Macaca fascicularis: one gene and its partners. The protein of the gene in region 3 interacts with the protein of the main gene of each other region in a biochemical or structural test. Links are inferred from orthologs where the notes say so. Each region holds a gene or a part of one and is shown on either strand. Other genes may lie near its edges.

Region 1 (10,489 bases), on a different chromosome or scaffold from region 3:
TAGCACTGTAAGGCATCGTCGATGTTGCCCGCGCTCAGGGCCTTGTTGCCTTTCTCTTTCAGCTCATTGACCTGAGGGGAAAGGAGCACACAGCTTCTCTATGATCAGCCCATTTAATCACAAGCTTTTAAGATAACACTCATTCTTTTCTGGAGTTACCAACAAATAAATGGGTGACTTTACAGATCAGAAAAGAGAAAAGAAGTTCATTTATTTAATTTCCCACACTTTCCGTAGGGAGCCAGCAAAGAAAAAATAAGCAGGGGCAAAGAGCCCAGGCTGCACTCCACGGCAGCCCTCATGTGACGAACGAGGGCTCTGCCACTCTTCCGGTCTCTACATGGAGCTCACGAAGCCACTCCAGGACGTATTACAGGCTCCTTTCATGGAAAAGTCAATTCATCTGTCACAGATTTCCAAAGCATCCAAATGATAAATGGAGCACAGGCCTAGTCACCCCTCACAGGAAGAAGGTGGGCGGAGTGGCACTGATCCATGCTCCAGTGACCCAAAGGCTGTGGGATGGCAGCGGAGGCTTCTCTTTCTTGGGAGCAGCAAGATGCCTGCCTATGGCATGGTTGCCATCTCCTCCCATCAGAGAAGAACTAGTCTCCATTTCCTGGTGTGACAACATGTCGCCACATGATAGATAAATGTTCATTAATGGGTAACAGTCAAGCTAGCCCCCCAAATTGATTCCTGCCATTCTTAAATATTACTGCATTACAAAGCGGATGGAGGATAAAGAAATGCTACTGTGGTTTAAACCTCTCCATTCTCAAACATTTAGAGTGCAAGAAGTAGGGATACAGCAGGGTTTGGTTTTGTTTTGTTTTTCGAGACGGAGTCTCACTCTGTCGCCCAGGCTGGAGTACAGTGGTGCCATGTTGGCTCACTGCAACCTCTGCCTCCCAGGTTCAAGTGGTTCTCCTGTCTCAGCCTCCCAAGTAGCTGGGACTACAGGTGCCCCCCCCGATGCCCGGCTGATTTTTGTAATTTTAGTAGAGACAGGGTTTCACCATATTGGTCAGGCTGGTCTTAAACTCCTGACCTCAGGTGATCCATCCGCCTCAGCCTCCCAAAGTGTTGGGATTACAGGCGTGAGCCACTGCGCCCGGTGGGATACAGCAGTTTGAAAAAGTGAAGCAACTCTGCCTGGCCGCCCCACTGTCGGAGAAGTAAGAAGCCCCTCTGCCCGGCTGCCTGACTGGGAAGAGAGGAGCACCTCTGCCTGGCCGCCTCTGTCTTGGAAATGAGGGGCACCTCTGCCTGGCCGCCTCTGTCTTGGAAATGAGGGGCACCTCTGCCTGGCCGCCTCTGTCTTGGAAATGAGGGGCACCTCTGCCTGCCCGCCTCTGTCTTGGAAATGAGGGGCACCTCTGCCTGCCCGCCTCTGTCTTGGAAATGAGGGGCACCTCTGCCTGGCCGCTGCACTGTCTGGAAAGTGAGGAGTTCCTCGGCCCAGCCCCTGCATGGTCTGGGAAGTGAGGAGCGTCTCTGCCCGCCCATCCCACTGTCTGAGAAGTGAGGAGTGCCTCTGCTGGGCTGCTGTGCAACCCTCCAAGTGTGAAGTGACAGCCTTGTGTGTGATCTTTCTGCCCTCCCCAAGTTTGCATTAGACATTAAAGTTTACTTTTTAATAAAAAAAAAAAGAAAAAGAAAAAAAGTGAGGCAGGCCTTGGCCCTGTCTTAACAGGGTCCTCACTAAAGGGTTTCTCCTCACTGAGCTGCCCCACAAAAGGCCAGGCGCCCCACAGCAGCCTACCTGAGGGCAGGCAGCCCCTCGAGAAGCTCCTTCATTTATTCATCTTATTATTATTTTTTGAGACAGAGTCTTGCTCTGTCCCCAGACTGGAGTGCAGTGGCACGATCTCGGCTTACTGCAACCTCTGCCTCCCGGGTTCAAGCGATTCTCCTGCCTCAGCCTCCCGAGTAGCTGGGATTACAGGCTCCCGCCACCACGCCTGGCTAATTTTTGTATTTTTAGTAGAGATGGGGTTTCACCATGTTGGCCAGGCTGGTCTTGAACTCCTGACCTCATAATCCGCCCATCTCAGCCTCCCAAAGTACTGGGATTACAGGCGTGAGCCACCGCGCCCGGCCATATATATACATATCTATGTATTTTTTAAAGACAGTATCTCACTTTGTCACCCAGCCTGGAGTGCAGTGGCATGATCACAGCTGGCTGTAACCTTCAACTCCTGGACTCAAGCAATCCTCCTGACTCAGCCTTTTTTCTTTCTTTCGTTCTTTTTTTTTTGAGATGGAGTTCCACTCTGGTTGCCCAGGCTAGAGTGCAATAGTGCGATCTCACCTCACCACAACCTCTGCCTCCCAGGTTCAAGCGAGTCTCCTGCCTCAGCCTCCTGAGTAGCTGGGATTACAGGCATGCACCACCACCACCATCCATCTAATTTTGTATTTTTAGTAGAGACAGGGTTTCTCCACGTTGGTCAGGCTGGTCTTGAACTCCTGGCCTCAGGTGATCTGCCCGCCTTGGCCTCCCAAAGTGCTGGGATTACACGTGTGAGCCACTGCGCCCGACCAACTCAGCCTTTTAAGTAGCTGGGACTACAGGTGTATGTCACTACGCCTGGCTAAATGTTTTTCTCTTTCTGTGGTAGAGATGGTGTCTCTCCATATTGCCCAGGCTTGTATCAAACTCTTGGCCTAAAGCAACCCTCCTGCCTCAGTCTCCCAAAGGTGAGCCACCACACCAGACCAAAATATACCTTTAAGAGGTAAACGTTCTGTGAGATAGTTATGTCACCCAAGTTACTAACTCATTCTATGTATTATCCACTCACGACCCAGTAAATTGATGCAAGAAATAATTTTGTTAAGAGAAATGATTTTAGGCTGTAATCTCAGCACTTTGAGAAGCCAAGGCGGGTGGATCATCTGAGGTCAGCAGTTCGAGACCAGCCTGGCCAACATGGTGAAATCCCGTCTCTACTAAAAATACAAAAATTAGCCCGATGTGGTGGTGCATGCCTGCAGTCTCAGCTACCCAGCAGTCTGAGGCAGAAGAATCACCTGAACCTGGGAGTCGGAGGTTGCAGTGAGCCGAGATGGCGCCACTGCATTCTTACCTGGGGGACAGAGTGAGACTCTATCTGGGGGGGGGAAAAAAAAGAAAGAAATGATTTTGGAATCCTGAAATACATCAGGAACTTCCATCAATCAGAGACATTACAGAGGCACAGGCAGAAGGAACCTGCCAAATTAAGCAAACAAGGGATAAAAAATCCTAGAGCCCAAGATGGAGGGCAGAAGACAAAGAGTTAACAAAACTCAAGTGGTGTCAAGAGGCAGCTGGTGAAGTTCTTGCCTATGCTTTAAAAAAGCATTTTTCAAACAGAGTACTGATCAACAGTGGGTCAGGAAATCAATTTTGTAGGTCATGACCAGCATTTTAAGAGACCAAGTGGGACAAAAAATACCAGCACACAGGGCACATAACAGTAAATACTGTTTTGCTGAATGTGTTACATGGCTGGATGCCTGTGTTGGGTTAAATGTAAGAAGTATATCATTGCAGGATTTATTTGAAAGGCCCCTATTGAAAAAAAAGACAAGCTTGAACATTCAAAATCTGTCCAACTTGTTTTTTTTCTGGAGACAGAGTCTCACTGTCATCCAGGCTGGAGGGCAGTGGAGCAATGTTGGCCCGCTGCAACCTCCACCAGCCGGCTTCAAGCAACTGTCCTGCCTCAGCCTCCCATGTAGCTGGGACCACAGGTGCACGCCTCGATGCTCACCTAATTTTTTTTTTTTTTTTTTGAGAGAGAGTCTTGCTCTGTCACCCAGGCTGGAGTGCAGTGGCACAATCTCGGCTCACTGCAAGGTCCGCCTCCTGGGTTTAAGCGATTCTCCTGCCTCAGCCTCCCAAGTAGCTGGGACTACAGGAGTATGCCACCACGCCCAGCTAATTTTTGTATTTTTAATAGAGACACGGTTTCACCATATTGGCCAGGCTGGTTTCGAACTCCTGACCTCATGATCCACCCGCCTTGGCCTCCCAAAGTGCTGGGATTACAGGCGTGAGCCACCGCCCCCGGGGCGATTTTTTATTTTTTATTTTTTTTAAATTTTTACTACAGATGGGGTTTCACAATGCTGGACAGGTTGGTCTCAACCTGACCTCATGATCCACCCACCTCCGCCTCCCAAAGTGCTGGGATTACAAGTGTGAGCCACCGCACCCAGACCAACTTGAGTATTTTCTAAACTGAAATACAAACCTCACAGTTGAAAATGAAAACAAAGTCTTGTTTATTTTCAGGAATGGCTTCCAGATGGTGGGCTCAAACACACCTGGGGTTAAATGCCAGGTCATCTGTACAGTCGCCATGTCAGTTTGCTGTCCTAAGTCAAATATTCATTCACCATCTATCTATCTGCACATACACTTCTACCATGGGTGGTGGTGATTTAAAAACAAACATTTTAAGACCAGGCAAAGTGACTCACGCTTGTAATCCTAGTGCTCATGCAGTGGGAGGCCAAGGCTGAAGGATAGCTTGAGCCTAGAAATTCGAGACCAGCCTGGGAAACATAGCAAAACCTCTGTCTCTACAAAAAATTTAAAAATTAGCCAGTTGTGGTGGCGTGTGGTTAGCTACTCAGGAGGCTGAGGCAGGAGGATCGCTTGAGGCCAGGAATTTGATGCTGCAGTGAGCTATGATCCCACCAGTGCACTTCAGCCTGGGCCACAGAACCAGACCCTGTCTCTAAAAAATAAAAAATAAATTTGGTAACAGCAGAAAGAGGTCCTTTCTCTTTTTTTCAAGACGGAGTCTCACTCTGTCGCCCAGACTAGAGTGTGGTGGCACAATCACAGCTCACTGCAACCTACGCCTCCAGGGGTGAAGCGATTCCCCTGCCTCAGCCTCCCCAGTAGCTGGGATTATTGGCATGCGCCACCATGCCCCGCTAATTTTTGTACGTTTATTACAGAGGGGGTTTCACCATGTTGGCCAGGCTGGTCTCGAACTCCTGACCTCTGGTGATTCGCCCGCTTTGGCTTCCCAAAGTGCTGGGGATTATACGTGCGAGCTACTGCACCCAGCCGAGATCCTTTCTTAAAAGTAAAAGAGCAATGTCTTATTCCAGAAAATTTTTCCTCACCTATAATACAGCCCATTTAATCCTAGACACAACTGAAGCATTATATGGGCACAAAAAGTTTATTAACTTCATTTCCACTCTTTTTAATACAGCAAGGAAGCTCGAGCTTTGCCTAAAGCAGCAACTGCTACAAGAGACCAAAGGCTCAGCTCTGGAACTCCACCAAAAAAAGGGTGGTAGTCACTAGTCCATCGAGATGTCTTACTTAAGGGGAGCGTGTGGGCAATCTTAGTTTTATGGATCTGAAGTAAGAACCAAATACCAGGTATAGTTTCAGAACTGTCACCCCGAAGTGTTATGGGCCCGGAGCGACGAGGGTAGTACTCTCGAGCAGATGATTTCTCAGATGTTGGTAGAGGTTTCTCGGAGGTTGTTTTGTTCTTTTTCTTCCGATGAATCATTATAGCTCAATGACAGCTTCCAATGGAACAAAATCTCTAGGCCTTTCACAACCACAAGCTACTGAGGACATAACCAAGTCACTGAAAGGAAGCAGCAGCCGCTTCAAACTCTGCCCCCCAAATGCTCAACAGAGGCCCATAACTTCTAGCGGTTAATCTCTGCAAATTGTCTACAACCGCCCCAGTGTAGCTAGAAATCCACCTTTCGGAAGTGTCGGTCCTCGGTCACTCGACAATCACACACACGCATACAAAAAGAGGGGGAGGGGCCGCAATACATTTGTAAACCACTGTCAGAGATGGAATTCGTTCCAAGGACTTTTGCGGCACCCTTCCCTTTACTGCATCAGCTACACTCGCTCTGTAGCTCCTCAAATCCCCGCTCAACGCTCTCCCACCCTCACATTCTCAGATGCAGAAGAGTAAGATTTGCCCCAACTGGATCTCAGGCTGCTAAGACCCAGTGTATTCCCGTCCCCGCTCCCTGGATCCGTCCAAGTTCCTCGTGGCTAAGTCCGAGCGGTTTCTCCGTCGGCTGTCTCAGATCTCCCGGAGCGCTACCTCGCGGGTGCCGACCCCGGCCCCTGGCCTAACTCCACCCCGCCCTCTGCGGCCCGCACCCTCCCCAGCATAGCCTGCAGCAGCCCCTTCGGGACACCTTCAGGGCCCGGTCGCGGCCCCTCTTCCCGCCGCCGGCCGGACTCACCCAAGCTGTGGCCTCCTCCCGGCCCTCTTCGCCCAACCAAGGGGCGATGGGCGCTCCCCGCGGCCGGCCTCTACAGATCCCGCTCCCGCCCGCCGCCCGCGGCCCTCGCCTCCCCGCCGCCGCCCCGTCCGGCTCCAGCACCCAGCTCCGGTCGCCCAGATCTGGCACCCGCCCCGCCCCCTACCGCGGGCCTGGCCTCCGCCGGTCCCCGAGCGGTCTCGGGGCCTCAGCCCGCCCCTCCCCCTTCACCTGCTCCATAGCGCAGCGCGGCCCGGAACCCCGTTGAATCGAATCCGTCCGCTCCGCGATCCCAACCGCACGCGCCGCCTTCTGGAACCTACTAGAAGCTGCCGGGACCCCGGCTCCCGCCCCTTCCTCGCCTGCTCACTGGTCGAGTACTTCTAGGGGGCTCTCTGTGCTGTTCTACTACTGGCTTGAGGTCCAGCCCATCATCTCCACTTCCCTCTCATTGGACAGCGGGGAGTGATTCCCTCAACCCTGCCTCCCCCGCACCTCAGGATTGGACGCCGCTCTATAAACCCACCCATCTCAGGCTGCACGAACGGAGGGAGGAGCGGACTTCTGCGACACAGATTGGTCTTTTGCTCTGCCAATCGTAGCCGCGCTGGCCGCGCCCATTGGTTCCGTTCGTTCTGGAAATTTCCACCTCTCCCATTGGGCTGCCGGACTCCAAGTCGGAACCGCCTTCAGAATGAGAGCGATTCCAATTGGGCGGAGGGTTGCCAACCCTCTGCGCTGATTGGTTTAAATCGCTGCCTTTCAAAAGGCTGGGTTTCGCCCCGCCCGTGGCATATGGCAGTCTCGGCCGTAGTCCGGTACTGTAGCCGTGTCTCCGGCGGCTGCGGTGCCTGTGGGTTACTTTCCATCTGGATCCCTAGTGCCGCGAGTTCCAGGCGGTCCCCGGGATCGCCAGCGGCACAGGGCCCCAGCCTTTCGCCCACGCATCGAGATGGAGGTCCTAGCCGGTCGCGCTGCGTGGTCCTCGACCGCCAGTTGCGCGCGTTGTTCAGCGCTGCGGCCTCGGCCTGGCCCTCCTGCATTCTGGCTGTTAGGTTCCAGAAATGCCACGTGACCGCGAGGGCGCTTGGGCTTGGGCTGGACAGGCAGGGGATCTCATCGCGGCGGGTGCGGCTGTTCTGCTGGGCGTCCTCAGTGGAACCGCACACCCTCTCTGAGTCGTTTGGTCCTGTAGGGCCGAGGGGAATTCGTGCGGTGTTTAGCACGCGGAAAGTACTTAGCGAAAGGGAGCTGTCCCCCAGCCCTCGTGAGTCCGATGTAAAGGAGTGAAAGAGACGAAGAGCTGAATCAGGTAGTTAACCGCCTATGAGCTGGCTAACTGTGGCCTGGTAGAGCCTTAAATCCCAGCCCCAGAAGTCAGAGTCAGGGCAGGCACCCCAAAGCGTGGAAGAGATGCACCTGCGGAGTGAAAATGCTGCTATTGCTTCTAGAGTCAGCTGTGGTTCCTGGAACAAAGGAGCCGCATGACTCGGGTCTGGCAATGGTCTTGGGCTCTGCAGTGTCCTCATCCTTCCCCCTCTCTGGGTAATGCCATCTTCCCAGGGTTTAAAGTGTGTCCTCTCTGCCAATAGCTTGTCTCCACAGCCTCATCTTTAATCCCACCTGCCCCACCCATTTTGGACACTGCAGCCAAGTTGCTGCAGACCTGCAAACCTGGTAATCCCTCACTTGAAAGTGCTGAAGGCTTTAGGGTGGGATTCAGGGCCTGTGTAATCCAACCGCCTGCTTTTTTTTTTTTTTTTTTTTTTTTTTTGAGACGGAGTTGAGTCTCACTGTCTCCAGGCTGAAGTGCAGTGGCGCCATCACAGCTCCCTGCAGCCTGGACCTCCTGAGCTCAAGCCATCCTCCCACCTCAGCCTCTCAAGTACCTGGGGTTACAGGCAGGCACCACTACGCCTAGCTAATTTTTCTGTTTTTTTTTATAGACGGATTTCTTCGTGTTGTCCAGGCTAGTCTTAAACTCCTGCTCTGTCTCTCAGGCTAGAGTGCAGTGGGGCGATCTCGGCTCCCTGCAACCTCTGCCTCCCCGGTTCAAGCAATTATCCTGCCTCAGTCTCCCAAGTAGCTAGGATTACATGTGTGCGCTACCACGCCCGGCTAATTTTTTAATTTTTAGTAGAGACGGGGTTTCCCCATGTTGACCAGGCTGGTCTCAGACTCCTGACCTCAAGTGATCCGCCCGCCTCGGCCTCCCAGTGCTGGGTTTACAGACCCAGCACTTCGCCCTGCGGTTTTGCATTTTCAATAGTGAGGCATGGTGAGAAAAGACTTAAAGAAAGCAAGGGAGTGAGATCCTTGGAAATGTGGGGGAGAACTTTGCAGGCCCATGGAACAGCCAGTGCAAAGGCCCTGGGATGGGAGCTGCCTCGGGGTAGCCAGGATGGCAGGAGGCACAGCTGCCGAGAGGAAGTAGGGGCCAGGTCCTGCAGGGTTAGAGGCCATTGCCACTCCCGAACACATTGGCAGGTTTTGAGCAGAGGAGTGTCATGATCTTAAGTTTTCTCAGGATCCCTCTGGCTGCTGTGTGGAGGAAGAGGGGAGAGTGAGAGCAGGGTTACCTCTTAGGAGGCTGTGGCAGTAATCCCAGGGAGCCAGGATGAGAGCAGAGGAGGGGACAGGAATAGGATTCTGGATGCATTTTGGAGGGAGCATGAAGGAAAGCGGGGTCAAGGGTTCCTCTGAGGCCTTGGCCTCCTCTCTTATTCATCTACATCCAATCTGTCAAGGACACCTTTCATTTCTTCTTGGCACTGTCTCCAGGCCACCACACGTGCCCACCTGACCAGCAGTGGCCTTTCCAAGCCTTCCATCTTCTCCCCAGCAGCTTCTCTCCGAATGGCCAGGTCCCATTTCCCACACACCTTTTTTTAGAGTGTGTTGCACTGCTCTGGGTGCAGGGCTGTAGCAGTGACCAGGGCAGCCCCAGATGAAGCTTCTGCTCACAGGGACCTTTTCTACTGAAAGATGATACCTAAACTCTCAGCTGTGTGATGTTAAGCAATTTGCACAACCTGTCTGTACTTCAGTTGCCTCCATCTTCAAATGGGGATTAAAAAGTGTTGACATCATAGTGGTTGTGAGGATTACATGATTTGATATTCATAAAGCACTTAGAACTTGTCAAGAAGAGGGCCTGGGGATCGCCTGAGGTCAGGAGTTCGAGACCACCCTGGCCAACATGGAGAAACCTCATCTCTGCTAAAAATACAAAAACTAACCAGGTGTGGTGGTGCACTCCTGTAGTCCCAGCTACTCTGCGGGCTGAGGCAGGAGAACCACTTCAACCCGGGAAGCGGAGGTTGCTGTGAGCCAAGATTATGCCACTGCACTCCAGTCTGGGCAACAGAGCAAGACTCTGTCTCCAAAGAAAAAAAAAACAGTGCCTGGCTACGGAATAAGAACTACATGGATTTATTAAATCAAAATCAGTGCACAAATGATAATTCTCAAGAGTGAGTGCTACAGAGAACACAAAAGTCAAGGCACAGAGAGATGACCTGGGTGGCAGGGAAGGAAAGCACTCCCAGAGGTGAGTGGTTAGTGAAGGCCTGTCAGAGATGGATCGAGGAGAAGCTTAGGGGGCACAGGGGACCACACAGGCAACAGAGGATGCAAAGGTCCTGAGGCCAGGGCAAATTCAGAATTTTTTTTTTTGAGAGGGAATCTCGCTCTGTCACCCAGGCTGGAGTGCAGCGGCGCGATCTCGGCTCACTGCAAGCTCTGCCTCCTGGGTCCAAGCAATTCTCTGCCTCAGCCTCCAGAGTAGCTGGGATTGCAGGCACCCACCACCATGCCCGGCTAATTTTTGTGTTTTTAGTAGAGATGGTTTCACCATCTTGGCCAGGCTGGTCTTGAATTGCTGGCCTCATTATCCACCTGCCTCAGCCTCCCAAAGTGCTGGGATTACAGGTGTGAGCCACCATGCCCGGCCCAGAATTCTCTTTATCTTTTTTGAGGGGGTGGGGGATGGAGTCTCACTCTGTAGTCCAGGCTGGAGTGCAGTAGCACGATCTTGGCTCACTGCAACCTCTGCCTCCCGGGTTCACGCGATTCTGCCTCAGCCTCCTTAGTAGCTGGGATTGTAGGTGCCCACTACCACGCCCAGCTAATTTTTTTTTTTTTTTTTTTTTTGTATTTTTAGTAGAGATGGTGTTTTACCATGTTGGCCAGGCTGGTCTCAAACTCATTACTTCTAGTGATCCACCTGCCC
Region 2 (10,429 bases), on a different chromosome or scaffold from region 3:
CAAACTTGCTTACTCCAAAATATAATTATACAAAGGAATTAAAGAAGTTTCTTAAAGAATAGTTATACTTATCAACAGAAACAAGATGGGACATAAAGTACACAGATATAGAGTTTTCACAGCATTAAATGTCGCCTATTTGGCTTGGCAGAATAGGATGCTGTCCAGTCAATTAAATACAGTAAATTCCAAATGATTAAAAAAAAAAAAAAAAAAAAAAAAAAGAATGTGAAATCTATCAGCTTCATCTATACCTTTCAATTACTTCAATCATCACTTTTAAAATTTATTAAGTATAGATCTCATATTATGTATTATGGTTAACAAAATAATAGAACCATAAGTTGTATTTAAAATTGAATCATATCTCTGCTATATAACGTATAAATACAGAATTTTACAACTTATATAAAGCTTGCAATGAACTCATTCAACAAATTAAACACCTACTATCTATACTAAGCTCAACAAGAAGAGTAGCTATTGCATACCCTTTTCTCAACAGAGCAGTGGAATTATTTGGATTGAGTTTGAGAGACTTCTTTGCATCAGCAACAGCAACTATGTAGAAAAAGATGGGTTTTAGTCAGTTATTTACAGATCCTAGCAAATACATATAACATATAAATCAGTTTTAGATTTCTAAGTTTTCAAGTTGGTAGAAATGCCAAATGGTTTTAAATTAGGAAAAGCTAATACAAGATAGAATTCAAATAAATTATTACTCTTGTATCTTCCTTTTGGCTTAACATTTAGCTTCCTTCTTAAAGCTCTTCAGTCAATGAATACAGCTGTGTCACAAAATTCACCTCCTTGTCTCATTAACATCGTCTACGTAATTTTACTCAAGGTATTCGGTTTTACCCTATTCAGATTCTTGATCAGAATAATTTTTTAAAGTTACAAAACACAGAAATATATTACTTTTTAAATATAGGTGGTCTTGTTATGTTGCCCAGGCAGGTCCTGAACTCCTGGGCTCAAGTGATCCTCCTGCTTTGGCCTCCCAAAGTGTTGGGATTACAGGCGTGAGCCACCATGCCTGGTCATTCTTTTTTATAAAAAAATACAAACAAGCATTTCATTTTAATACTCTGTCAAATAGTAAATGTGATGCTATTTTTTATCAGCATACCCAATAACTATGAATGAAATCTGTATACATTCTCCACCCAATGAAGGAAAAAGCGACATCCATAAAATTTAAATGGGTGTTGCTCAACGTGTCTGTCACATTTGAGCTACTTTACCTTGTATCAAAGACCAACTTAAAAATTCTCAAAGACAACCTTTAATTTGTCATGGGTAAAATGTGTAAGTAACTTATTAAAAAGGGCAATATACTTTATAAGAAAAGTTACCACAGTAATTCCCAAGAAGAATGTGACAATAAGCTCTTTGACAATAATACTGTGCATCATCTGGTTTCTCTTCCAAAGCCTTAGTCAGCTCCTACAAAAACAAACATGTTGAGTGTCAGTAAAAGTTTGTAAAAAGCCATCAAATTCTAATTAAAACATAATTTTTAATCAAGTAACTTATTGTCAGAAGCTATTTGGAGGAAAGCTAACAGGGATATAACCTTGGAGTTTTTCCTTATAAAAGGATCAGTATCTCCCCCACTTCTCTTGCCCCTCCTCCCAAAAGTAGACAATCTAATGTAGTATCTGTGTACCATAAAGTATTTAGTTCCTGGTCTACAGAATTCAATAAATGATCATTATTATCACCTCATATATTCTTAAGAGTTTAATTGTTATACATTGACCATTACAGATTTCCTCCTCCTAATCTGAAGAAGATTCAAACACCACATAGAATTTGAGATTCCTAGAAAATGTGAAGCTGTGCAATAAAAAAAAGACGAGAAGTTAAATCTAGCACTCAGGGAGGTTAAGACAATCAATACATACACAATCAAGCTTACCTGGCCCTCTCCTAGCCTCTATCAATAGCACACAACTCTAATAAAACCCAACTAAATATTCTGTTCAAAGCCCAGACACAATCTAATAGATGGCTATGTCAACTATCAAGAGTTAACATTAGAGACTGAAACTTTTTCAACCCATGCAGTCACAACATATAGGTGTGGTAGCTGGAAAAACAATGATGCAAAAGATTACACAACTTGGGAGATCAAGGACAAGTGCAGGAACACTTTTATTTTCTGCCAACTGACTACAAACTCTAGGGATTTGGTAGTTTTCTTTAATGGTAAAATTATTTCAAGAGCCACATGTATCATTGACTTTGCTTTAACCTAGTAGTGTGACTCTCACAAAGCAACATGTACAGATGCTCCTCAAATTACATGGGGTTACAATCAATCAACAGAAAGTGTGGCTCAAACCAAGAAAGCAAAGAAGCTGTAACCTGCTACACTTCAAGGGCCTCACTTTGTAGGCTGCAGACTGTATAAGGAATTTGGACCTTAGGTGTGATGGAAAGCCATGGAAAGTTCACTGTAAGAGCATGGTCCAATTTACTATTTTTTTAAATGTCATTCTGGCTGCAGTCTGGTGAATACATTATCAAATCAGGACTGGAAACGGAGACTTCTTAGGAAACTACTAAAGTCTAGGTTAGAAAAGCATGTTAGCCACAGAGGTGACGAAGAGAAATACAGTAAGTTGGAACATATTAGAAGCAGCGAGACTTGCTAATGGGTGAACATGTGAGATAAGATAAATTGAAGATGACTGCAGGGTGCTGGGCTTGCCTAGATCTGTATGTGGCATCTAGTAACCATTCAATGAAAAGTATTGATTTTTCTCCTTGCAGATTTTTTTTCAGACCTTTCCCTGGTCTCTGCTTTGACCTCATCTTCTTTGCCACAGAATACAAAAATATTTGCCTCTCTAGTCTTAATCTTCTCAAAATCACTAATAACCCCTTATCAAATCCAACTGATTCCTATCTGACTTGATCTCTCTGCGGCCCTTGACAATAATAACCAGGCCTTTCGGCTTACCATTCTGTTGCCTCTTAAAAACTAATGTTCTCCTTGGGATCAGTACTTAAGGCTTCTTCCCCTCTACAAACATTCTTTGATTCCTTAACTATTGGGGGGATTCACATATGTGTTGATGCATGCTGATGACTCAAGTCTATTTTGAGCCTAGACAGTGCCCCTGAGCAACAGCAGCACATAGTTTTCTCTAGACTACCTGAAATGTCCCAGGGGCAACTCATGTACAAATATTCACAATCTAAAACTACTTTCTCTCCTCAAACCTGTTCCCCAATGCTGAATGCAATCTTCTAAGTGCTATCATCCTAAATGCTATCTAAATGAATAGCACCAGTTCCTACTACATTCCCCCAGCCAGAATCTCAGGAGACATCCCTTATATTCCAATTGTTACCAAGTCCAGTGCATTTTACATAAAACAACTCCCCTTCATGCTCTCAATCACTACCCTACACGCAGATATTATTCTTCGATCCGGTCAGCACCACCATCTTCCTGCTACCCACTATCCCTTGTTCCTCCTCCAATTAACCATCTATTCTGCTTTTAAAGTAGGTTTTGTAATTCAGAAAATTTCATTTTCCTTTCTCCAAATTCTTGACACATCTCCACGATCATGTAAAACTGAAAACGCTGTGCCGGGATTTAATGCCTTTGATGGCCGGACCTCACTGTCACCTGGACTGGAGTGCAATGGCACGATCTCAGCTCACTGCTACCTCTGCCTCCAGGGTTCAAGCGATTCTCCTGCCTCAGCCTCGCGGGCAGCTAATTATGGCTGCCCACCACCACGCCCGGCTAATTTTTTGTATTTTTAATAGAGACGGGGTTTCACCATGTTGGCTAAGCTGGTCTCAAACTCCTGACCTCCTGATCCGCCTGCCTCGGCCTCCCAGAATGCTGGGATTACAGGTGTGAGCCACCGCGCCCGGCTGCACTTCTAATTAATTGCCAGGTGATACTACTACTGCTGGTCCAAGAGCCACACATTAAAAACCAAGGTACTAATACTAGCCACATGACTATCCTAGGCAATTCTTCTCCTAGGTACATACAACCAAAAGAAATGCATGTGTTCACCAAAATACACGTACAAGAGTATTCACAGAAGCTTTATTTATGCTAGCTAATAACTAGAAACCCAGATTTCCACTGTTAGAATAAATTGCGCTGTACTTACAGCTGTACAACATATATTTATACAATGGAATATTACACAGCAACGCAAAAGAACTACTGCTTCACACAATATGAATGTATACTCACGTAATGATTAAAGCAAAAACAGAGTGCCTACATTCAACAAAGCACCTACTGTATGATTCTGTTTATGAGTAAAGAACAAGCAAAACTAATTGATGGTGATGGAGGTCAAAACAGGAGTCAGCAGGACAGTAAGAAGAATTACTGGCTCAGAAGGAGCACGAAGGAGCATTATGAATGGAGATACTCTGTATCTTAATCTGGTGGTGTAAACATGTGAAAATTCATCAAACTATAGATTTAAAATTTGTGTTATTTACACATATCATATATGCCTCCATAAACATTTTTAAAAGTACAGTAAGATGGAAAGTGACAATAAAATTCATTATGTTAATATTGTTTAAAAGCAACTTTTATATAAAGCGGATTTCCAAACGAAGCACTAGGTCTAACAGGACAATAACAAATGTAAATTAAAAGTAATAGCTGTCTAGCTAATACAAGGAATTATGGAGAAAAATTATCAGTGCTTTCTGTAACATTATCCCCAAACTGATCCCAGAAGCCTTACTCCCAGTATCTAAAGGTCTATATATTTAGGTACAAAAAACACCTGGACCCTAAAAGGCCTTATAGGACCTGGCTCCTAGTTTCCTGTCCAACCTTATCTTTTAATCAAATGGGCCCTCTAATAAAAAGAGCCTTTTTGTTGCTTCACATACAGGCCCAACTTCATTCCTACCTCAGGATCTGCACTGGCTCTTGGTCCTGCCTGGAATACTCTTCCCCCAGAGCTTCCAAGTAATATCCCTTGTTGCTTCAGATCTCAGCTCAAAGATCTTCTCAACGGAGGCTCTAGTACCATGTGGCACATTTCTTATAAAAGTCATAGCTAGAAAAAACGCTGTCTTGCCTCAAAGTGTTAAACATAACAACAAAACAGGTTTCCTCTTCTCTGTGATGTAACGCAAAAAACAAACTCCTGGCTAAATTCTGTGACCCACACCATCATTTATCTTTAGGTTCTCCTCTAATTCTTATTATTTAACTCTTGCTCTTTTACATTCCTTTACAGCTTTATGGTTTGTCTTCACTGCACACCTACAAAAAGTGATTTCTAAGTTAGCTAAGTATATAACGAAGACTTTAACCCATAGCAATCAGCGCCTTTGCACACTGCCACTCAAAAACAATTTTTGATGTATATACAAATGAGTGAATAATGAACTGTGATAAGACATCTGGAAAGTTTCAGGGACGTGAGGGAAAAGGTTTTTGCTCCAATAAACCGACTTCATACCGACACTTTTACATAAGAGTGGCAAGAATGATTGTCAAACGAAAAACTTAACTTCATCGAGCCCAGAGTCCACTTTTCTAGTCACAAACGTCATTAAAAAACAAAAATCCTTTCAGCCCAGCCCAGAGCCCACTTTTCTCTTCTAGTCATAAATGCCATTAAAAAAAAAAAAAATTCTTTCAACCCAACTACAAATGCCAACCATGCTCCCAAGAAATACAGGTTTTTCTCAGGAGCTGTAGGGAGTGGAAAGGGCGAGATAGGAGTCTAGGGTAACGCGGCTACCGTGGAACAGAGAAAGGAGACCCAGAATCTCAATACCGGGGCTGAGACGCAGCATCAACAAGAGCCTGGGTCCCTGTCCGGCGGTGCTGGGAGAAGGCGAGTCAGCCGGGCCCCGAAGTGGCCCAGTTCCCCTAAAGAGAGTGGAGGAAGCAGAAATGGGCTCTCTCACCTCTAACGCCGCCTGGGGGTCCTCGTCGATTAGGGCATCCGAGAAGCTCTGCAAAAACCTGTCAGGAAAACAACGACTTCAGCACGGCTCACTAGCCAAGGAAAGGGGGATAAAATAAATAGCAAAGGGAAAGAAAAACACGCACCTCTGGGATGTTGCAGTTCCTGCTGCAGCCGCCGCCATCCCTCGTAGTCACTGTTGCTGCCGCCGGAGTTGCTACTATCGCGGTTACCACCTCCACTACCGCCCAAGGGGGAAACTTCTGGAGAAACACCAACCGAGCTTCCGTCCTAAATAGCCAACGAGCAGCCACGCAGCGTGCTGCTAGCGGAAAGGGAGGCGACACGCCGGCGCGGGGCCAGCCGGGACAGTGGAGGACCGATTCCTCCCAGCCCCACCCCGGCCCAGGACCAGCGCTCCCAGTCCCCGCCCCTCGCAGCCATGGTTACTGAAGCCTGGGGCGTACACGTTCTCCCTCCCTTCCACGGCGCCCACGCCAGCGGGCACTCCCACGGAGCTTTCAGTAGTAGTTTACAAGCACTTTTGTAACGTACTGTCATCCCTCAGGAACGTGTGGCGGTTAGGGGCGTTTGTATGTCAGTTAATAACGCAAGCTACTTCGAGCTTCCATTTTCCCTAGTTTCTATCATGGCTGCCACAGGTAGCCAAGTCCTTTCGCTTCCATTACCTCATTCGCGGCTGCGTTGTCGCTTCCGGGAGCAGAGGCCCGGATGACGCTTGGATTCCCGCGATCTTTGGGCTGGGAATCCTAAACGGCTGGGACTCACCGGAAGTCATTCTGCCCTAATAGCGGCAAAAAGCCTTCTGGTTCCTGGGGCAACGCGCCGGGCGGCCCCACAGCCCAGGATTTCTTCTTAGTGGGCTTCCCAGACCAAGAAGGGAAACCTTTTCCATCCGAAGGTACTGAGGGGAGGAAGGTGGCCTAAGTTATCTCAGTGCCGCTTTGTTTCCCACGCCAGTCGGTCAGCCCTTCCTCAGCGCTCTTTACGCTTGCAGATCGGATGGAGAAAGCTGCCAGCATGTTCCAGGGATGGGGGCAGATTGAGGAGCGAGAGGGAGTAGTGTTTGTCTAACTTTATACCAGTACCAAACTGTGTTAACTTAATGTAGTTTTATAATAAATCTTTAAGTCCTGTAACTTATTCTCCCAAGATTGCTTTGGCTCATTCTACGACCTTTGTATTTCTAGGTGAATTTTGGAATTAGGTTAAATTAAAAAATGGGATTTTTGCTGGACTTGCATTGAATCTATAGATCTGTTTGGGGAAAACTAGTATCTTAACATTAAGTCCTTCAATCCATGAGTATCATTCTACCCCACCATTTATTTAAGTGGTCTTTAATTTCTCCTGGCAATGTTTTGTAGATTGCCCATATATCTATATTTTAATGCAGCTGTGCTTGGATAGATTGCAGTATAGAGATGATACATATCTTTCATTAGATTTATGTTAAATGGCATTTTGACTTTTTAATATTCTGCTTGTTGTAAGAATAAACAATATTGATTTTTACATACTGATCTTATATTCAAGCATCTTGCTAAGTTCCCTTGTTACTTGTAATAATACTGTGTAGATTCTTTCGGAATTTCTGCGATCAAAATCTTGCAATCCACGAATAAAGATGGTTTAACTTCTCTGTAACCTTTATACCTTTTATTTGTATTTATTTTTGCCTTTTGTTGCTGGCTAGTATTTCCACTATTGAGTAAAAATAGTGATAATGGACTTCCTTGTCTTGGTCGTAACATCAGGAGGAAAGCATTGAATATCAAGTGCTTTTTCTGCCTTTATTGAAATGTTCATTTGTATTTTTAAATGTTACTGTGAATTACACTGGTTAATTTTCAGATGTTATCTAAATGGCCAATTGTTCTTCTGGACCCACTGACTCCAGTTGGGATGGCACTATAAGAAGAGAGGCAGAGCCAGTGAAGGAGACAAGGTTTATTCAGGACTTACATACGAGGGTGGTCCAGTGGTGGGCTGGCCTGGAGAACTGATACCATTTGTAAAAAGCATGTAGTGTATATACCATTTTCACTTAGCACCCTCCTAGCAACCTCCATTTAACCCAAAAACAAAGGGCCTTGATTTCCTGTACAGCCTAAGATATGGGCCAGGGATGTGGATGTCCTTCATAGATAAGGAGTGAATCTCTGGGTTGGCTATTCCTGGATTCCTCAGCCCAGGACTCCAAACGTAGGTTCTTCTTAGACCACAGGGTTAGTCTCAGGTATGCTCCAGTTATGGCTCTGCACTAATGTGTGTACACCAGCCTCTGCCATGCACCAATACACATAAATGTATGGCCTCTGAAAGGGTGAATTCCAAGACTGACCTATAGGCCCAACATGAGAAAAAGTTCTATATATTATGGACATTGAAATCAATGAGTTACCAAGACTACCACCAGAATGGCTTAAATTAAAAGGACTTCCAATACCAAGCATTGACAAGGATATGCAGCAACTATATCTTTCATATATTGCTGGTGAGAGTTTAATCATTTTGGAAAACTGTGGTACTATATGTCTGTTCTTGCATTGCTATAAAGAAATACCTGAGACTAGATAATTTACAAAGAAAAAATGTTTAATTGGCTCTTGGTTCTGCGGACTGTACAAGCAGCATAGCAGCTTCTACTTTTGCAGAGACCTCAGGAAGCTTCCAATCAAGGCAGAAGGCAAAGGTAAAGCAGCCATCTTACATGGCAGGAGCAAGTAGGGTGGGGGGAGGTACACATTTTTTAACAACCAGATCTCACAAGAATTCACTGTTGCGACAGTACCAAGGGGGGTGGTACTTAACCATTCATGAGAAACCCACCCCTATGATCCAGTTACCTCCCACCAGGCCCCACCTCCGACATTGGGGATTACAATTTGACATGTGATTTGGGTGGGGACACATATCCAAACTATATCAGACACTACTAAAGCTAGTTATACATAGACCATAACCCAATTATTCTACCACTGGGCATATACCCAAGAGTATTTATTATTTATGATCATGTAGAAGAATATTCACTGCAGCATTACCCAAGGTAGCAAAAACTGGAAATAATCTAAATGTCCTTAAATAGGAGAAAAAATATTATATAGCAATGAGTAACAATGAACGACTACTACACACAACGATATGGATGAACATTATATACATTAAGTTGTGGTAAAAAAAAAAACAGACAGAGTACATCATGATTGATTCCACTTAGATGAGAGGTATCATAAGGGAACCTCCTGGTTGTCAGGGAGGGTGGGGAAAAGGAGCATGAAGAAATCTTCTTGGATGCAGGAAATGTTACATATCTTGATCTGGCTGGTAATCACAGCAGTGTATTCAAACAAAATTTTATCAAGTTATGCACAAGATTTATGCAGGCTGGGTACACGCTCACGCCTATAATCCCAACACTTTGGGAAGCCAAGGCAGAAAAATCACTTGAGCCCAGGAGTTCAAGACCAGCCCAGGCAAGGTGGTGAGATCTCGTCTCTACAAAAAATAAATAAAAAAGCATTAGCCAAGGATGGTTGTGCGTGCCTCAGCTACTTGAGAGGCTGAAGCAGGAGGATCACTTGAGCCCAGGAGGTTGAGACTCTTACCGTGTTACTGCACTCCAGCCTACATAACAGTGTGAGTCTCTTAACAACAACAACAAATTGTTCACTTTGATTTTGCAGATTCGTTTGAGAAGAAATGATATCTTTCCCTTGTATTGCCTCTTCCAATCCATGAACGTAATTGCTTGCTTCATTCAGTTACTCATATCTATCTTTCAGTAAAGTTTTTATAATTTTCTCCATAAATTCTTCGCATCAGTTTATTGAAGTCTTGGGAGGAAGGAGAGACAAATGCTTAAGAAGTCATTAATAAAATGTTTTCGGCCGGGCACAGGATTACATGCCTGTAATCCCAGCACTTTGGGAGGCCGAGGTGGGCAGATCACCTGAGGTCAGGAGTTCGAGACCAGCCTGGCCAACTTGGTGAAACCCCGTCTCTACTAAAAAATACAAAAATTAGTGGGGCCATGGTGGCAGGCGCCTTAATCCCAGCTACTTGGGAGGCAGAGGCAGGAGAATCATTTGAACCCAGGAAGCAGAGGTTGCAGTGAGCTGAGATTGAGCCATTGCACTTAAGCCTGGGAGACAAGAGTGAGACTTCTCTCAAAAAAAAAGTTTAAAAAAAAATGTTTTCATATGCAAATGACATAACTAAATATGCCAATGTACTTAGCTTTGGTAATTTAAAGAAGGGGAGGAGTAACCATGCTGGATTAAGTGGGCATTTATTGAAGGATAATTCGTCTTCAAACTGAAGAGTGAAAATAGTCATCTATACTGTGTTACTTAACATCTTCCTAGGAAAAGGATCCTTTCATTTAAAAGAGAAAACCTTCCCAGTCTAACATTGAAGCCATCCTTAAGTGTATTATACTTGATAATTTCAAACTGAATCTAACAAAATCT
Region 3 (10,371 bases):
GTTCAAGTGATTCTCCTGCCTCAGGCTCCCTAGTAGCTAGGATTACAGGGGCCCACCACCACACCCGGCTAATTTTGCATTTTTAGTAGAGATGAGATTTCTCCATGTTATCAGGCTGGCTGCTCTCCTCACCTCAGGTGATCTACCCGCAAGTGCTGGATTACAGGCGTGAGCCACTGCTCCTGGCACTTTTTCCTTTGACTTGTGCCAGCCCATCTTTTTCCCACCAGCTTGTTACCTGCTGCTTACAGGTGTCAGCTGGCTCAATAAAAAACCAGAAAATTAGTAACGAGAGATTTCAAACAGGATAGCTTTAAGTAGATTTGGTAAACAACTTTGAGACACTGTAAGGCCAAGAAATTAAGTGACTGTATTTAGAACAGAAGGTATTCCATGAATAACATCAAAACAATGTGGACGCTAAGGGGAGAACACGTGTTAACTCACGGAGACAGGGGATACACGTCTGCATTGCTATTTTCTGTGCCTACTTCATGTGCTCCACCCCACACCTGCGGAGTATATGCTGGGAAGATCACGTCAACCCTTGGAGTGGCCAGTGTTTAACCGTCTACTGCTAGCACCTCATGTTTTACATTTTGGCACCAATGTCATCCAGATATTCCCCTTTCCCCCTAAATAAGACACACTGTCACACAACATCTTTTAACTCATCTGTATTTGTTACAACTTTAAGCAGAATGTGACTCCAGCACTACATTTCCATCCACAAGACTTGAGTTATTTTTGAACAGCTTTATGATATGCTTAGGTAGGCTTATAACTTTGCTCCTCCAAACAATACTTTTCTTTGGAAAACAAGCCCTGTGGAGAGTTCCTTCTATCAAGTTGCTTCAGTTTAACCTATTTCTAGAGGACTAGTACATGCAAAATTGGCAACTACAGGGGATGAAAAGTTCAAAAAGATCCTACAAGATGTAACAAATACTTTTCTAAACATCCAGGTATATATAGCTCGAGAACACTTCAATAACAAGATTTGGTCTACTTAGAAATCCGGCTTGATAGCTAAACACTGTAGACCACAAAGTTAACATCATGTTACATACATCTTACAACACACGTTACCCCAGTCTGTTAAAATAAACCAATGTGAAACTAAAAAAGCATTACTAGCTCTGCTTTAGTGCCTAAGGTACCACAGCATCACTTAGAAATAGACAGAAATCTTATCTTCCCCTTAAAGTAGTTGTTGTCATGCCATACAGACTTTTTAATATTAACAAAAATAAAGAAAAACATCCTGGAAAATATATTATCAGAAGAATTGTAGAGTATTGAACAGGTAAGTCATCCCTCAGCCGGAGGTTAGTCTACTTCTTCCATGCGTGATGTGTCGTCATCTCCTTCGAGGGGCGGCATTTCTTCAGTTACAGCTGCACTGGTATCATCAGCAGTAGGATCATCTTCATCAATACCTGTTTCCAAAATAAAATCCTCGTATTAGAAAGATTTCTTAAAGCCAGCTATTAGTGTAATACTCCTGATTTATACCTGCTTTCAAGACAGTATTTACAGGGCATATAAATCTCAATTTCATTTCTTAGCTCTTATAAGACCTTACTTATCCCTAAAAAAAATATTCTTGAATGCCTCCAAGCAGGACAAGGTGCTCCAAGTTTGGGTAACTGAAAGTTTACCACTTTCTTCACTGTCATGTGTATTTCTTTCCTTTTTTTTTTGAGACGGAGTCTCGCTCTGTCGCCCAGGCTGGAGTGCAGTGGCCGGATCTCAGCTCACTGCAAGCTCCGCCTCTCGGGTTCACCCCATTCTCCTGCCTCAGCCTCCCGAGTAGCTGGGACTACAGGCGTCCGCCACATCGCCCAGCTAGTTTTTTGTATTTTTTAGTAGAGACGGGGTTTCACCGTGTTAGCCAGGATGGTCTCGATCTCCTGACCTCGTGATCCACCCGTCTCGGCATCCCAAAGTGCTGGGATTACAGGCTTGAGCCAACGCACCCGGCCTATTTCTTTCCTTTTTAACATTACATAGTATTAGGCTTACCCAGACCAAGTTTGATCATCCTGTAGATCCTGTTGGCATGTGTCTGGGGATCTTCCAGACTGAAGCCAGAAGACAGGAGTGCAGTTTCGTAAAGCAAGATGACCAGATCCTTCACAGACTTGTCGTTCTTATCAGCCTCTGCCTTTTGCCTTAAGGTCTCAATAATGGAATGGTCAGGGTTTATCTCCAGGTGTTTCTTTGCTGCCATGTAACCCATTGTTGAGTTGTCTCTTAGGGCTTGAGCTTTCATGATTCTCTCCATGTTTGCTGTCCAGCCATATGTGCTTGTGACAATACAGCATGGAGACGTCACCAATCGGTTTGACACAACCACCTGTAATCAAGAAGTGATGACTAGGAGCCTAGAAAGATTAAACCCTAAACCTTCATTGTCAAATGAAATCTGAAGAACCCAAACAATAGATCCGAAATACTATTAAATAGAACTTAAATGTTGCATTAGGTAGTCAAAGAGCACAGATTATAATTAATTTCGTTTTACGTACACCACCTTTTTTTTCCCCCGAGATAGTCTTGCTTGGTCACCCAGGCTGGAGGTGCAGTGGTGCAATCTTGGCTTACTGCAACCTCTGCCTTGCGGGTTCAGGAGATTCTCCTGCCTCAGCCTCCAGACGCCCGCCACCACGCCTGGTTAATTTTTTCGTATTTTTAGTAGAGACGGGGTTTCACCGTGTTAGCCAGGATGGTCTCCATCTCCTGACCTTGTGATCCACTGCCTCAGCCTCCCAAAGTGCTGGGATTACAGGCGTGAGCCACCACGCCCAACCATACACGACATAGTTTTCTATTTTAAGTTGAAAGCAAAGAAAAATGGGTCATGTATGACTAAGCTTGAAAACACCCTAGAGGTATCAATGATCAGGAAATGCTGTATTCACATACCTTTTCAACTTTTTTCTCCAGTATGTCTTTCATGATTTTGCAGAGGTTCTCAAACTTTGTTTTTTTCTCTTCCTGTTTCTTTTTCTCTTCTTCATCCTCTGGAAGTTCCAAGCCCTCTTTGGTGACTGACACTAATGTCTTCCCCTCAAATTCTTTTAGCTGTTGGACACAGTACTCATCAATGGGCTCGATCATATAGATCACTTCTAAGCCATGTTTCCGAAGACGTTCCACAAAGGCTGAGTTAGCTACCTGGTCCTTGGTCTCACCTGAGGTATTACAAAGTTACTTTTAGACCTTTTAACAGTAAGAATGGCTTCATCTACTTCTAACTTTTGCTAGCCAGATACCTAGGCAGAACCTAAGACAAATAATGACCTAGTTCATGTTAATTATCTTGCCTAGATCAACGCCAGTTATAACAGTGCTACCTGAGTAGAAAACACACCCACAGAGCCTACAAGGTTATAAGAACGACGTATAGACTGTAACATAGCGTCCCCCTACCTGTGATATAATAGATATGTTTCTGGTTTTCCTTCATTCTGGTGCAGTAATCCTTGAGAGAAACCATCTCATCGCCAGAGGCAGATGTGTAGTACCTTAACAGCTCTGAAAGCTTCTTCCGATTTTGTGAGTCTTCATGTATTCCAAGCTAAAACAAAGTATGTTCTTTACTAAAGACTCTCTGAATTCAAAAAGAAATCTAAAAAGAGGCCAGCAGGGAAACTACCAATGGTCAAATATTTACACCAACCTTTATGTTTTTAGAGAACTGCTCATAGAACTTCTTGTAGTTCTCTTTATCTTCCGCCAGTTCAGTAAAGAGTTCTAAGCATTTTTTGACCAAATTCTTCCTGATAACTTTCAAAATTTTGCTTTGCTGCAACATCTCACGGGATATATTTAGAGGGAGGTCCTCTGAGTCTACCACCCCTCTAATGAAGTCTGAAAAAAATATAAAAATCAAATGCACTGAGTCATTCCAAGGACAAAACTGGTACTATGTAAACCCCCAAAAGCAAAGACAAGAACCTGGAGATGATAGGAGATTATTTTTGAGACAGTGTCTCACTCTGTTGCCCAGGCTGGAAGGCAGTGGTGCAATCTCCGCTCACAGCAACCTCTGCCTCCCAGGGGGGTTTTCAAGCTATTTTCATGCCTCAGCCTGCCACCACATCGGGCAAATTTTTCTAATTTCAGGAGAGATGGAGTTTCACCATGTTGGCCAGGCTTGTCTTGAACTCCTGACCTCAAGTGATCCGCACACCCCGGGTTCCCAAACTGCTAGGATTACAGGTGTGAGCCACCATGCCCAGCCAGAAGTATTTCTTTAATCAGTGACAGTGATTATTTTTCCTATCTATACTTACTCAGATATTCAGGGATTAGCTCCTCACAGTTATCCATGATGAAAACTCTGCGTACATACAATTTGATGTTGTTCTTTTTCTTTCTGTTTTCAAACAGGTCAAAAGGAGCACGTCGTGGGACAAATAGAAGGGCTCTGAATTCCAACTGCCCTTCAACTGAAAAATGCTGTAATAGAACAAACACACTAAGTATCAATGAACAATGCATTATAGCAGATATTTGGGGTGGTGGGATGATAATCTAAAGACAAGCTTGAAGCATCCATCAGTCCCTCACTCACCTTCACTGCCAAGTGATCTTCCCAGTCATTGGTCAAGCTCTTGTAGAATTCTCCGTACTCCTCATTAGTAATATCGTCGGGATTTCTGGTCCAGATGGGTTTTGTTTTGTTGAGTTCTTCTTGATCGATGTACTTCTCCTTAATCTTCTTTTTCTTCTTCTTGTCACCATCCTTCTTTTCTTCTTCTTCCTCATCAGAACCAACATCTTCAATTTCAGGTTTGTCTTCAGACTCTTTCTCTTCTTTTTCTTTTTCTTCTTCTTTGTCTTCTTTTTCTTCAGCCTCATCATCGCTGACTTCTTTATCACGTTCCTTCTCCACCTTCAAAAGACATGAAATCGCATCACTGCTGCACTCTAGAACTAAGTCATAGCGCTGCCCCACTACTTTCAACCTAAGGCCAAAGCCTAAATTACCGAGGATGAGAAGCAGCCAGGCAGCTTCTCATCAATATTTGATATATCTACTTAATAACCCGAGGAACCTTCACAGTTAGTAGAGCTTAGGTTCCCCAGGCTTCAGACTAGTTCAACAGACCTAGGAACTAAGGATGTAGTACAGTCACCCCAGTCACCTACAGACAGTAATTCACTCTGCAATTATGTAGAAACTTACAAAAAGAGTAATGGGATATCCAATAAACTGAGAATGTTTCTTCACAATCTCCTTTATTCTTCGTTCCTCCAAGTACTCAGTTTGGTCTTCTTTCAGGTGTAGGATAACCTTTGTTCCACGACCCATAGGTTCACCTGCAAGAGAAATAAGGAAAATTGACTCAATAATACATTCAATTTAGTGCTCAACGCCATGCTTAACCCTTATAACGTGTCTATGAAGCGAGGTTTGCCCTTACTACAGATGCAAAGGCTCCCACAGCAGATCTAAGTGCCTTGCCCAAAAGAAGTAATCACCAAGTCATGCCATTACACACTAATTCAGAGCTCTAGCTTGTTCCTGATCCTTGGGTAAACACACTTTCTGTGAACTTCGCCGCATCCCCAGGGGTCCAAGGGTTGCAACACCCCACCATTCCGCCACTGACTTAACCAGTGAGTGTTCAGGTACCTACCTGTGTCTGTCCTCACTGTAAATGATCCCCCTGCTGAGGACTCCCAGGCGTACTGCTCATCATCGTTATGTTTGGTGATCACAGTTACTTTCTCAGCAACCAAATAAGCAGAATAAAAACCAACACCGAACTGGCCAATCATGGAGATATCTGCACCAGCCTGCAAAGCTTCCATGAACGCTTTGGTCCCAGACTTGGCGATAGTACCAAGGTTATTGATCAAGTCAGCCTTGGTCATCCCAATTCCAGTATCCACAATAGTGAGGGTTCGATCTTGTTTATTTGGTATCAGGTTAATATGCAGCTCTTTCCCAGAGTCTAATTTACTGGGATCCGTCAAGCTCTCATAGCGGATTTTGTCCAATGCCTATTAACACAAAATATTAATTAAGCATACAGCCCCCAAGAAGTTCATATTGAAACCAAAATCCTATTCTGGGTTAATAAACGACTTACATCTGATGAATTTGAAATTAGCTCTCTTAGAAAGATCTCTTTGTTCGAATAAAAAGTATTGATAATCAATGACATCAACTGGGCAATTTCTGCCTGAAAGGCGAACGTCTCAACCTCCTCCTCCTCCATCGGTTGGTCCTGGGTCTGCGTTTCCTCAGGCATCTGGAACGACACCGCGCCGGTTTAAAACCCTGCAGAGCGTCTACAGGGGCAACACGAGATTCCATCGCGTCCTCCCAATATTTTTAAAGCCGGATTGCAGATTTGCGAAGTTTAAGTAAACCGAAAATAGAAGGGCGGCTGACAAAGGATGACCTCATTTCGGAGCGCGGTAACTACCACGAGCGTGTGCGCGCTTCCGGGAGGCCACTGCAGGCCCGGCCCAGTCCCGCGCCGCGGTCCCCAACCGACACCCCGTGTGCTCTCCCGCGCGGGCCGCGGCTCCGCCAGGGCGGCCTCCTCCGCCTGCGCCCCAGCTGGGCCGCCCGGGGGGCCCCCAGCCAAAGGGCCGCTCTGCTCGCGTGCGGCGCCAGCTCCGGGGCTGCCGCGGAGCCTCGGGGAGCAGCCGCCCAGCCCATTCCTGAGGCGGGCTGCGGAGACAGCAGCGGGCCCACGGCCTCCGGAATAGGCAGCGCGGCCTCCCGGGAGAGCGGCCCTGGCGGGTTCAGGGCTCCCGTTCGGCCCCCACAGCCTCCGCTCCGCGCCAACCGCCCCCACTCCCCAATCCACCTCCACAGGCCCTCACAACCGCCCCTCACACCTTGGCTAAAAGGCTGCAAACGTTCCACCGCACAGCAGCACCAAGACGCTGAAGCAACTGACGCGCCGCCCCCGCGCCTGCCTTATATAGCGACGGGCCCGCCCAGCGCGCGGCGCTTTTTCCAGAAGCCTCCCGAACCTTCCGGAAGAACCCTCCCCAACCGCCGCCGCGGCCGCGCGCCTGCGCCTGCGCCCTCGCCCTCGCCGTGGCCCGCCCCTCCCGCTGGCGCGCGCAGGCCCTGCTCGTGGCCCAGCCCGGGAAACCTTCCCTCAATCACCGCCCCGCGCCTCTCGCACGCCCCCGCGCCGACCTCAATGCGCCTGCGCGGCCTGGAATTCTCGGGAAGGTCCGGGCGCCTTCTGGGGCCGCCCGCGCTCTCTTCCCTGCACTCCCACCTGCCGAGCGCGGGCGGAGGGCACGCCCGGGCGTGGGGGCCTTTGAAGTGAGGTGTAGTTTGGTCACCCGGGCTGCGCAGAATGCGGGGCTGGGGCGGGAGGCGCGCCTGGAGGGAGGGCCGTGCGTGGACGGGGAGCGCCCCGGGTCTCGCACGCCTGGGAAACTACCGGAGCCGTCATCCTCACGGACGGCGCGCCCGCTGCCAAAAAACCCAGCCGCAGGCGGCGCCGGGATCGCGGGGCTCTGCTCCCTGGGGGCCTTTGGGCTGTTGGCTTCTAGCTGCTGCGCGCAGGGGACGCCGTCCCGCGGCCTGCGCGCTCGGGGAGTCTCCAGACCCACTGCTGGCTCAGGAGCGCTCCCTACCTTTGGGTTCCCCGGAAGCCATGTCCTTCACACTTCAGGATCCCTTAGCTTGGGAATCGGGCCCTTGGTGAATAAATTCATGCTTACCCAGCTACACCCGGCATGCTTTTTAAAAGCCCATCGTTTTGCCGATCGATTTGAGGTCTCCAAATTAAGTATCTAACACTTGACATTTTGGTGATTAACCTTCCCTAAAAGACAGGTTTGGTGTTTTTTTGTTTTTGGACAGGCTGTCCCTCTGTCGCCCAGGCTGGGGTGCTGTGGCACAATCTTGGCTCACCGCAGCTTCGACCTCCCGGGCTCAGGTGATCCTCCCACCTCAGCTTTCCGAGTAACTGGGACGAGCGCGGGCGGAGGACCACAAGCGCGGACACCACACCCGGCTAGTTTTTGTATTTATTTGTATAGTTGGGGTTTCACCATGTTGCTCAGGCTGGAAGAACCAGTTTCTACATGAGAATTTTCAGATATTTTGGTCAAGGCCAGCTATGAGAACCTTGGAGGTGTTGGGGATCCTTAGACTTGGCTCCCATGCCTGGTCCATGTCCTCTTCCTCTCTGGCGCCTCCCACGATTGGGCCTCCTCCTGCCTAAACTCATAGCCAGGTCCTGGGAATAATCTGGAAGCTCCTTACCGTGTAAACAAACGACGGAACTACTTCCGCTTCCTGGTCTCTAGGGAAACCAACTTATTCAGGAGCAGGGGTTTTCAGACTGCGGCCTGGGACCCTTTAAGAGTGTGTGAAATCAACATAAAGCGTCTTGCCCAGCATTACAAAGCGGGGTGGATGGAAACTAGCAGCCACGTGGCGCGGGCCCCAGCGGTGGTTACTGGGTGTGTGCCGGCTCCCGTGATAGCTGTTCCGCAGCCTTGGGGGGCGCCCCCCGCCCAGGCCTTCCCTACACTGCAGCCGAGACCGGCGGGGAGGAATCCGGAAGCAGGCGGGGCGGTGAGCAGGTTGCTGAAGGGGCGCAAGGTCTTCCCTGGCGAGTGCCTCCTCCGCCTGTTTCCTTCCTGTCACCACCAGCCACTGTCCCCACTCTCCTCACTTGTAGGAACTTTTCCTACCGCAGTTTCTGCCATTGCCAATGGGGTTTGAGATTTCTTATACAAGAGCCATCCCGGGCCCTAGCTCTGACAGTCTGTCTTTTGTTTTTGGGACCTTCATTTTTCCCCGTTTCTCCAGTGAACCTGCCCCAAAGCCCCTGCCTGGGTCTGGGCATCACTGGGAACCACCGTTTCCCGTCAGGCCCCACCTTTAATGTCCCTCCTTCCTTCCACAACTTCCTGTCTTTCCAGCTCTCCCGCCTCGGTTAATAAACAGGACATTGGCCGGGCGCGGTGGCTCAAGCCTGTAATCCCAGCACTTTGGGAGGCCGAGACGGGTGGATCACGAGGTCAGGAGATCGAGACCATCCTGGCTAACACGGTGAAACCCCGTCTCTACTAAAAAAAAAAATACGGCGGGCGCGGTGGCTCACGCCTGTAATCCCAGCACTTTGGGAGGCCGAGGCGGGCGGATCACAAGGTCAGGAGATCGAGACCACGGTGAAACCCCGTCTCTACTAAAAATACAAAAAATTAGCCGGGCGCGGTTGTGGGCGCCTGTAGTCCCAGCTACTCGGGAGGCTGAGGCAGGAGAATGGCGTGAACCCGGGAGGCGGAGCTTGCAGTGAGCCGAGATCGCGCCACTGCATTCCAGCCTGGGCGACAGAGCGAGACTCTGTCTCAAAAAAAAAAAAAAAAAATACAAAAAACTAGCCGGGCGATGTGGTGGACGCCTGTAGTCCCAGCTACTCGGGAGGCTGAGGCAGGAGAATGGCGTGAACCCGGGAGGCGGAGCTTGCAGTGAGCTGAGATCCGGCCACTGCACTCCAGCCTGGGCGACAGAGCGAGACTCGTCTCAAAAAAAAATAAATAAATAAATAAAAAATAAACAGGACATTTTTGTCCTGTCTCCGGGTGACATTCCACAGTTACACACCAGTTGAGACCTCTGCCATGGTTTCTACCATCAATATGCCAGCCCCTGGCTGTTCCTTCTCTCTTCTCAGACTCATGTCCCTCTCCCTGGCACATCACGGAGCTCCTGGAGGTGGGTCCTTGTCCCCAGGAAATCTTGTCCAGCACTCTCACTAATAGAACTTGTGTGCAGATGACTCACGGAAGAGCCGGGGCAGGACTCAGCTCCAGACCTGGATGCTGAGCCTCATGAGCTTCTCCCACCTCTCCAGCCCTCTATGAGGGTTCGTTAGCCAGGTGACTGACTATCCCACCACCTTAAAGAATCCCAAGCTTCCCCATAAGGGATCTGCCACTGAGTCCTGCCACTTGTGCTTCCTAAGTACCTCTTGAACCCAGCCACTTCCCTCCACCTTCATCTCCCGCTTCCACACAACCGGGAACTCACCTGGAAGGCCTCCATAATCACCTGACTGCTCCCTATATTTGGTCTGGTCTGTCTCCAACGTGTAGCCAGGGTGAGCTTTGAGAACACAGACCTGGCCCTCTCTATTCCCTCCTCCCCACCCTCGGCAAATCCTAGCTGACTTCCCATCCTTCTAGGAAGAGAACAGAGCTCTTTAGGCCTGTGAGGCCCTGCAGGTCGCTGCTGCCTACCCATACAGCCCCAGTTCCCACTGTGCTCCTATTTCTGTGTCTGGCACTCTCCGCATGACTCGCCCCCACAAGGCTGTGCAAATGCTGTTCCCTCTGCATGGAACACCATTCCGTCTGTTCTTCTCT

The links.
Region 1: the proteins of HSP90AA1 (region 3) and STIP1 form a complex in vitro, tested with the Homo sapiens proteins (9 studies listed by BioGRID). The link is inferred for Macaca fascicularis from reciprocal best matches to the Homo sapiens genes HSP90AA1 and STIP1.
Region 2: the proteins of HSP90AA1 (region 3) and SUGT1 form a complex in vitro, tested with the Homo sapiens proteins (4 studies listed by BioGRID, with this or other methods). The link is inferred for Macaca fascicularis from reciprocal best matches to the Homo sapiens genes HSP90AA1 and SUGT1.

The regions. Positions count from the first base shown.
Region 1 is NC_088388.1:10,206,984-10,217,472, forward strand, and holds the start of STIP1 (stress-induced-phosphoprotein 1), read right to left. Parts: upstream 6,557-10,489; 5' UTR 6,499-6,556; coding exon 6,490-6,498; intron 6,356-6,489; exon of another isoform or gene 6,241-6,355; intron 5,596-6,240; exon of another isoform or gene 5,396-5,595; intron 1,667-5,395; exon of another isoform or gene 1,378-1,666; intron 1,226-1,377; exon of another isoform or gene 192-1,225; intron 72-191; coding exon 1-71. UniProt on the Homo sapiens protein: Acts as a co-chaperone for HSP90AA1. Mediates the association of the molecular chaperones HSPA8/HSC70 and HSP90.
Region 2 is NC_088391.1:31,857,504-31,867,932, reverse strand, and holds the start of SUGT1 (protein SGT1 homolog), read right to left. Parts: upstream 6,199-10,429; 5' UTR 6,118-6,198; coding exon 6,080-6,117; intron 5,993-6,079; coding exon 5,935-5,992; intron 5,908-5,934; exon of another isoform or gene 5,802-5,907; intron 1,453-5,801; coding exon 1,362-1,452; intron 562-1,361; coding exon 492-561; intron 1-491. UniProt on the Homo sapiens protein: May play a role in ubiquitination and subsequent proteasomal degradation of target proteins.
Region 3 is NC_088381.1:170,183,568-170,193,938, forward strand, and holds HSP90AA1 (heat shock protein HSP 90-alpha), read right to left. Parts: upstream 6,927-10,371; 5' UTR 6,868-6,926; intron 6,270-6,867; coding exon 6,108-6,269; intron 6,019-6,107; coding exon 5,652-6,018; intron 5,332-5,651; coding exon 5,198-5,331; intron 4,904-5,197; coding exon 4,583-4,903; intron 4,468-4,582; coding exon 4,302-4,467; intron 3,877-4,301; coding exon 3,686-3,876; intron 3,584-3,685; coding exon 3,436-3,583; intron 3,198-3,435; coding exon 2,929-3,197; intron 2,360-2,928; coding exon 2,026-2,359; intron 1,440-2,025; coding exon 1,330-1,439; 3' UTR 665-1,329; downstream 1-664. UniProt on the Homo sapiens protein: Molecular chaperone that promotes the maturation, structural maintenance and proper regulation of specific target proteins involved for instance in cell cycle control and signal transduction.